Mus musculus: one gene and its partner. The protein of the gene in region 1 interacts with the protein of each later gene in a biochemical or structural test. Links are inferred from orthologs where the notes say so. Each region holds a gene or a part of one and is shown on either strand. Other genes may lie near its edges. The genes, in order: Mc4r and Pomc.

Evidence for each region.
Region 2: the proteins of Mc4r (region 1) and Pomc form a complex in vitro, tested with the Homo sapiens proteins (2 studies listed by BioGRID). The link is inferred for Mus musculus from reciprocal best matches to the Homo sapiens genes MC4R and POMC.

Annotation. Positions count from the first base shown.
Region 1 is NC_000084.6:66,857,460-66,861,847, forward strand, and holds Mc4r (melanocortin receptor 4), read right to left. Parts: upstream 3,029-4,388; 5' UTR 2,582-3,028; coding exon 1,583-2,581; 3' UTR 246-1,582; downstream 1-245.
Region 2 is NC_000078.6:3,953,342-3,957,859, forward strand, and holds the start of Pomc (pro-opiomelanocortin preproprotein), read left to right. Parts: upstream 1-1,603; 5' UTR 1,604-1,705; intron 1,706-2,046; exon of another isoform or gene 2,047-2,222; intron 2,223-3,477; exon of another isoform or gene 3,478-3,588; intron 3,589-4,518.

The DNA of each region.
Region 1 (4,388 bases):
TTATGAGTGTGGTGGCAGTGTGGCTCAAAGGATAGCACCTTGAAACAGTTGGCTTTACCATTCATTGCACTTTGATACGGATTTGCACATGGATGCCCTCAGTGTGTCTCAGGCTTGTAATTAATAGGTGGAACATTCAGGTTTTAATTCAGATGCACTGCTATGCATTGTCTCTGCCTATGCGCATTGGGAGACACTATCAATTGAATCACAGGAAAGTTGGCCTCTAGTCATAGGCCTAATGTAGATTTTTATCCCTTTTATTTCAAAGTATACACAGACTAGAAAGCATAGATTTGGTTGCTCAGTGGCCACACCTTTGGTATTAGTTTGGAGAAAACAAGCATTCCCCATCCCAAGACATGACTAAGAACAGCAGGGTGTTTTACTGTACCTTCCAGGACCCCATTTGTGTTCTCTTTCCATCTCGTTATGTGCAAGCACCACAGGGCTCCACACTTTAGATATTTACAAACCCTGTCCCAAAATGTTTTGTGATGTGGATTTGGCTTGGGAATTAAATCACTTGATCTTCAGCACTTATATTCCAGCTCAAAAAGTAATCAGAAAGTGAACAACAAGTCCCCCGCCACATGAAAGATAGCACAACTCACTATTAACTCTAAGATGAAATGAACGCTGGACCTCTAAGTGCAGAGGGAGCTGTTCTAGACCTTTCTGTAGGAACCAGATCCCTGGTAAGAAGCCAGAAAGAAATCATTCTGTTATGGTGGGGTATCATTTGGCATAGGAAATTTCAGCATGGTGTGGACAGTTTATATTTAACAGGACACTTTAATCTATTAAGATTGGTATCTATTTTATCTATTAATCTATTTTATCTATTATTATCTATTATAATATCTTTAATCTATTAAGTGGGCATTTCCCCTACCACAGCTGACTTGCCTGTGTGAACTCTGAGTCTCGGGCAATGAACCATTCCTTCTTGGAGAAATGCATGTGACAGAAATCTCACTTTCTCCTCAGTAGCTGCTTCTTCCCCCTTTCTCTTTCCTTTACTTAAAAAGAAGCATCAGTGTATTTGGACAGCAAGGATAATAGGCAAGCTTTTATTCGATTGCTCGAAATTTCACTAAGAGAGCTGACTCATTTTAATGATCAAGCATGTAGTGTTTAAATATTTCCCCATAAACAGTGGGGTCAGTGCCTCTGCAGTACTGTGGGGCTAATACATGAGAACAGCTGAGAACACGTTTAATAAGGTTCTGATTTCGGCCACTACAGAAAGAACAAGTGTGGAACCTTGATAAATAACAGGAAAGAAACACTGTCAAAGTTTTAATAAGGGTGTCTGTTTTTCTTTCATGTCAATTCATAACGCCCACACTATATAGAACATAAATAAGCATTTTACAAACAAAAAAAATAGCGTGTCAATAAACATAACACGTTGAGACTTTTTTTTCCATGTCAAAAGTCACAAACTTACATTTATACAGTAGATATTTTCAACCAAAGCATTACACAGAAGAGGCAGCTGTTGGGAAGTACACTGCTCAGATCGGGCCAGAGTGACAAAGTCTGCAGGTATCTACCTAGTTTGCACTCTGTCCCCCACTTAATACCTGCTAGACAACTCACAGATGCCTCCCAGAGGATAGAAACAGATGATCTCTTTGAAAGTTTTCCTCAGTTCTTGACTCCGGAGGGCATAAATGAGAGGGTCGATGACGGCGTTACACATGATCAGTATGAGATACAAATTAAAATGAGACATGAAGCACACGCAGTATGGATTCTGAGGGCAAGAGATGTAGAACAGTAAATGGAGAAAGAACGGGGCCCAGCAGACAACAAAGACTCCAATCAGGATGGTCAAGGTAATCGCCCCCTTCATGTTGGTACCCTGGCGGATGGTCCCTGTGCCTGGGAGGACAGCAATCCTCTTAATGTGAAGCCTCGCCATCAGGAACATGTGGACATAGAGAGAGGCCATGAGAACTAGCATAGTGAAGAACATGGAAATGAGGCAGATGATGACAGCGCTGCTGTCCGAGTAAATGATGAAGAGGACGCCTGACACAGTGCAAGCTGCCCAGATACAACTTATGATGATCCCGACCCGCCTAACCGTCATGATGTTATGGTACTGGAGCGCGTAAAAGATAGTGAAATACCTGTCCACCGCAATGGAAAGCAGGCTGCAAATGGATGCGAGCAAGGAGCTACAGATCACAGAGTCAATGACATTATCAATGTTCACGGTGAAGCTCTGGGCATCCGTATCCGTACTGTTTAACAGGGTAATGACGATGGTTTCCGACCCATTCGAAACGCTCACCAGCATATCTGCCACAGCCAGGCTACAGATGAAAAAGTACATGGGTGAGTGCAGGTTCTTGTTCTTGGCTATCGCCACGATCACTAGAATGTTCTCCAACAGGCTTATGACACCCAGAGTCACAAACACCTCGGGGGAAACAAAAAGTTGCTCATAGCATCCTCCGTCCGGGTGGCCCTTCCCCAGCGACTCGCTGGCATTGCCGTGCAGCCCGTAGCTGCTGCGGTTCCAGAGGTGGAGGGAAGTATACATGCCATGGTGGTGGGTGGAGTTCATCTTCCTGCAGCAGCTGGATTTGAGTCCTCCTTGAACTGATCCAACCTCCTGGGTCAGGGAAGCTCCGAGTGATTCTCTCCCAGTCTGTATGCCTGTAGAAGTTGGGAGGCTGCGCTTGGCGCCTGCTAGGAGCAGGGTCAGAAGCAGCGGAACTCGCAAAGGAGTTGTTGGTCTCTTCTGGGTTCGGCTCAGATCATCGTCTCTTTAGAAGCTGGTGCTTCTGAATGCTCATTCTCGGTTGACCAGTCTGCTGTTTGCTTTTTTTTCTCTCTCTCTCAGTGCGGCTTTCACTTTAGTATTCACTCGGGGTCTTTTCAGAGTCCTTTTCCCTGAGACTCGCTGTACTGCTGGGAGCCGCGTCTGCATCTGCGCGCCCACACTCACACCGCAGCCTCTCAGAAGTTCAGCTTCCTGAGCATCTTTGTGAGCCAGAGCAGCCTAGTGCGGGCTGCTGATTTCTTATGGTTAGACGGAGGGGGGCCGGGGGGTGGGGGGTGTTCTGAATGGCTCCTCCTCTGCTTCCTTCTGACCAATCCGTATTCAGTGGTTCTGAGACATCGATCTTGCACAGATAGATTACAGCGCAGCAACCGGCTCAGTGGCTAGGGCTGCTGGGGTGGGAAGGTATCACGGGATTTTCCTTTCCAAGTTTTAAGAGAAATGACTTGATTGCTCGAGCACATTCTGAGATACTCCTGAAATCCTCGGGAATCAGCCAGGCTCTTTCCTCCTTGAGACTGAACTCATGCGTGATTGTGGATAAAAAAAAGAAATGAAAAGCAGCTGTCCTGGCTCCCGAAGCAGGCGCTGCCCCTCTGCCCAGGATGCCCCCCTGAATGACGGAAGGCTCAGTTTGAAAGACTAGAAATGCAGGCAGTAATTTAATTAAATAGATGAGTATGCTGTGGAGAATTACAGCAAAGCCAGAGATTAAGACCAGGTTCACTTCTTGCGTGCTGGTAGCTGTTTCTCCATTTGCAGTTTCTGCTCTAACGGCTGGAAAAGTGGTCATTCACTGTATTTTAAAAAGTTCAAGTGGCATTTGTGAAAGCGTATTGTCTGTGAACTTAGACAAATCAACAATGTGATAATATTCTGCATGGTCTGTTGTTGTTATTGTTGGTTAGGTTGGTAGGATTTTGTTGATGTTTTGTTGTTTGTTTTTTTTTTTAAAGATAGTGTTCTGGTTTTTGTTTTTTAACTTGTTTATTTTTCTTCTTCCATAGTTGGAAGCATCACAACCTGAAACTGTAAACACTTTGGCTCCGTACTTACTCAGGCTAGCTCCAGTGAGTGCACATTCATGTGTGTTGCTTTGAAGAGATGGCCACTTAGCTTTGAGCCCCGCCCCCGCCCCCATTCCCCCCCGCACCCCGTGTGTGTGTGTGTGTGTGTGTGTGTGTGTGTGTGTGTGTGTGTGTGTGTTAGAGACAATGCTAACCGTTTCTTCAGAACACTGTGCTAAGTTAGTGTTGCCATGCAACTCAGGAACTGAGTAGGACCTACTACTGAATTCTGACTAATAGTACAGGAGTTGGTACTCATTGCGTCACCTTTCTCTTGATTATACTTTTTCTCCTGTTTGGAAAATGACTGCAGAGTTTCTAGATGCTCTGTGGTGTAGAAGCCCCCTACTAAGTAACTGTGCAGAATAGAGCTCCCCCTCTAGACTCATTCCATCTTGAGCTGACCAACGACCGCAAATGCGCTAGGAACAAGGGGCAGCTTTTACTATTGTAAACTCCCAAGTGGCTCAGCTGTTACAGCAGCTGGCAGTTGTTCCCTCCAGACACTTCACTAAAGCCCT
Region 2 (4,518 bases), on another chromosome or scaffold:
GGCCAAAGCAAGTTCTTCTATATATAATTAGGAGCCCAGATGATGGGCCAACCCAAACTTACCTTGATTTGACTTTGAGGCTGCCAGTAGCAAGCAGCCCCCTAAAGACAGAACAATAAAGCAAAGGAAAACAAAGACAAAATCACCACAATTAGAGAGCTGGTGAGCCTGATGTCGGTGAGGGCAGAGGTGGATGGGAGGTTGAAGACAGAAGTGTATTAGTTCAAGTATAATAAGCTACATATACAGATGAGACAAGAATGGGGTTCCCTGCCGAACACAGATCATTTCTCAGGCTCCTGGCAGAAATAATAGCCAAAGGGGGCTTAATATGAACTGGGAGATGATGGGGAGTAACCTCACTGGAGGGACAGAGGGTGCTAAGCTTCCGGGAAACACTCAGGGAAGTAGAGGCAGAAAGTAGTGCTCATGGAGTATGAGTGTTGGGAGTATGTGACACCCAGGATACAAGATGGACAGCAGGAAGTCACTCCGGAAAGAGGCCACAGCCAGGTGACACACTCCTTGCTCTTGTTTGGGAGCTTGGTGTGTTCTCTCATGGCACAAAAGGAAAAGATTTTTGGATGCCAATCAGAAAAGCTGAACTCTCAAAGGAGCCCTGGAATCCCCCAAACAAAACAAAGCAAATAGACAAGCAAACAGCGTCTAACTGGGGAGTGAAGTTCCTTCAGCTGGTAGATTAGGCAGGCACCCCGACTGGTCTGGTACAGGCCTGGTCCTGCTGCCAGCCACAGCTCTCTTCACAAGTTTTGCTCTTTGTGCTGGCTCAGGTAGATGCCACTGCAGGTCTGTTCTTCCTTCTGTTTTGGCCTGTGAGTTCACAGCTAAGCCAGAATGCCTGGGCCTGGCCACATGGTGAGGGCTGTCAGACAATCCCCACCCAGACCATTCTGCCAGCTCAGCCCCGGGATGGCTTCCATTTCCATTGCCCACCACAGAGCGCTGCACCTCTTGGTTAATAGTCTGAGGCTGGCATGACCTTGCCCTTAGAGTTTGGGCACAGAAGGACACCTGTCTTGAAATAAGTATTGGGGAATCAAGGCAGGCACACACCCCACTCCAAAAGGTAGCCTGCCTTGGGCGGCCGTGACTCTTGACAGCCTCTGTTGTCTCCCTTCTCAAAACGGAACTGAGATTTTGGTTTCACAAGATATCACACTTTCCCATCATTGGGGAAATCTGCGACATAACAAATCCCCTTCCTCATTAGTGATATTTACCTCCAAATGCCAGGAAGGCAGATGGACGCACATAGGTAATTCCACTCCGATCTGCAAGATCTCAGAACTAGGCCTGCCTCGCACAGGGACGCTAAGCCTCTGTCCAGTTCTAAGTGGAGATTCAACACCATTCTTAATTAAGTTCTTCCTAACCACCAGCGCCAGGTGTGCGCTTCAGCGGGTCTGTGCTAACGCCAGCCTCCGCGCTTTCCAGGCAGATGTGCCTTGCGCTCAGCCAGGACCGGGAAGCCCCCCTCCCGAGGCCCGCCGCCCCCCTTCGCTGCAGAAGCGCTGCCAGGAAGGTCACGTCCAAGGCTCACCCACCCAACCCTGCAAGTATAAAAGAAGAGAGAAGAGCGACAGGGACCAAACGGGAGGCGACGGAAGAGAAAAGAGGTTAAGAGCAGTGACTAAGAGAGGCCACTGAACATCTTTGTCCCCAGAGAGCTGCCTTTCCGCGACAGGTAAGGGTGTCTCAGCTCTGGACAGCTCCCTTACTCTGAGCTCTGACCCCGGACCTTGGGATCCTCAGCAGACTGGCGTTCTGGTTTGTAGCGGACCTGACCTCTTCTCAAACTTCTGAGATGGGAGAGAGCTGAGCCCGGATGATGGGTTGACAGACTGCTCCAGAGAGCAGGTGGTTTGGCGACTCCATCTGGGGATGGTCCCAGAGTCCGCATGGAGGAATGAAGTGTTGGGAGGCTTAGGATTGTCTTAGACTCCGACTGGCCCCTGGGGAGATTTTGGGAGAGTTCCCCTTTAGGCTTCTCCTTCCGATTGTTTGGACTTGTATATCTTCTTTAAGGCAGGAGACTGAACATGTTGGAAAGATAGCGGGAGAGAAAGCCGAGTCACAATAAACTCCTAATGGTGGAGTTCATTTGTTGTTGCTGTAGACGTCCAAACCCTCGTTTCTCTGCGCATCTTAGCAGATCTGGGGTGGTTGCATTGTGATAATTACGTGGGTTATAGGACAGGACGGTAAGTAGGTTCTTGTCTTCAAGATCCAGCTCAGATTTAAAAACAGGGTGTGGGAGGGAACTGTCCAAGGTTCTGAAATACTCCGTCTACTTTCGGAAGCCTTTATAAAACTGTGGGGGCGTTGCAGCAATTTGTAAGGACCCATACTCAGGTAAAGGACATTTCAAATGGAGAGAAAGATTCCCTCAAGTTTTCCATGTATAAATCATGGGAAGCTTTCACAGAATGGCTGGAAGGAGTTAAGTAAAATGAAAAGAAGTTTGTCAATGTATAAAGTAAGTGCAGATTGTTTCCTTTGGGTCTTATAGAAGTTGAAGCAAACGCACTGTGTATGGATGAAGCCGCATCTCTGTGCCTCTCAGATTTATACACAGCTTGTCGCAGTCACTCTGAGAGCAGAACATATAAGCTCTACTGAGTTCAGAGACTTTTCTGGGGCCCTAATAAGCGCAGTTCTGTCAAAATGAATAAACCACAACCTTCTGTCTTCCAGAGATGTTAATGACTGGAACCTGACACTCTCCTATCTATGAAAAGCACAGCATTTGACATTTCCCTCAATACTTTTGATTAAAAAAAAAAAGAGGCACAAATAAGACATTTGTTTCATTGTAAGAAAAGGGAGAAATACAAATAAAATGCTCTAGGAGTGGGGCATAAGAATTTCAGCACACAGTGGGTGGGCTAGGAAGAGAAGGCACAATTTTGAAGGCCTGAAATCTCAACTGTGGCTCCTTCAAAGATGGTCACACAACTTTCAGGACAATGGAAACTTAGTGAGAGGACTTGCATGATCTTACTTTTCTTTACTAATATGTTTTCATGCTATTTATCATTTTTTATGCTTTCCTATCTGGGGGAATTTTGTGATCTCAGCATTTTGAGCTAATTTGCTCCAGTCTGAGCCTGAGCCCCAGCAATGGTGAACAAGGTTGCTTCTAGGCTGAGGTACGGACCACATAGTTCAATGACTGCTAGCGCCTACTAATGGTTGTTCTGAAAAAGACACTCAGAGCTTGCAGGAAAAACCAGCTCTAGAAGAATGGTGCAGGGGTGGAGCAGAGAGGAGAAAGAGATTCTTGAAGGAAGACTTTCACTTCCAAATCCTCCCTTTCAAAAATAGAGGTTTGGCTCCCGTCTTTATTTTCTGTCATATTCATCTTAAAATGCAAATGTTCATCAGGGGTAACAGACACTTAAGTCATTTACATCTTTTTTAAAATTATTACATTTTATTTTATTTTATTTTTTTCAGGTCAGGGTATTTCTGTGTAACCCTAGCTGTTCTGGAATTTTTTCTGTAGACCAGGCTGGTCTTGAACTCAGAGATCCTCCTGCCTCTATTTCCTGGGTGCTGGGATTAAAGGTATGAGCCTGGGTATTTACATCTTACTATGAACTAATTTTTCTAATCTAATTAAATGTCTTCCTAACAGCTGGTAATCTGAAATCCAGAATGAGTGTAAAGTTGGTGGGGAACTTTTACAGAGTAGGGTGACATTAGGGGTCCTTGGGTGAGGGGGAACAGATATCACAGGCTAAGAACCTAGCAGTGTGAGGGAAGAGCTGGACACCAGGGGACCAAAGTTGCTCTCTCTCTCTCTCTCTCTCTCTCTCTCTCTCTCTCTCTCTCCTGCCTGTTGGTCTTTTGACCTCCATATCTGCCCAGAGGTGCTTTGCATTCCTCCACAGTATCTTAGTCGTTCTCCACTGTGGAGGCAGCTTCCTTTCCATTCTTTTGCCTATCTCTCTGTCCTCAATATTGACATCCTCTTCAAAATCACATATTTCAGACTACAAGACTTATGATGTGTGGTGTGTATGTTTAGAAAACAGGATAGTTTTAAGGGAAGTGGAATCTGCTTTAGAGAGAAATCTTCCCAAAGTTACTAGGGTCTAGAAAATGACAGTCACCAGGCAATTTGTGTATAGAATATCAAACCTTGATTAAGTGGACTGGCTTTATTTGCCTGTATTCAAACCTACCTTTCATGGGAAATGATCAAATGTTAGGCGAAAGGAACCAAGGCAGGACTTTCCTATCTTTTGTCTTAGTTACTCTCACCCTTTGGATACAGAGTGTTGAACTATAGCTTTCTCCAGGCAGTGAACTTAGAAGCTATGTGGGAATGTGGAAAAACATACTTTTACTTCATCATGGACATAAAAGAAATGATCTTTTGGGGGCATCAGCTTTCCCACCTCCCAAATGAGGGGTTGGGCCAAGTGATATGGCAAATAGCTTCACCTAATTTTTTAAGGGTCTGATTTTAACAGGAAACAGAGAGGGAAACTG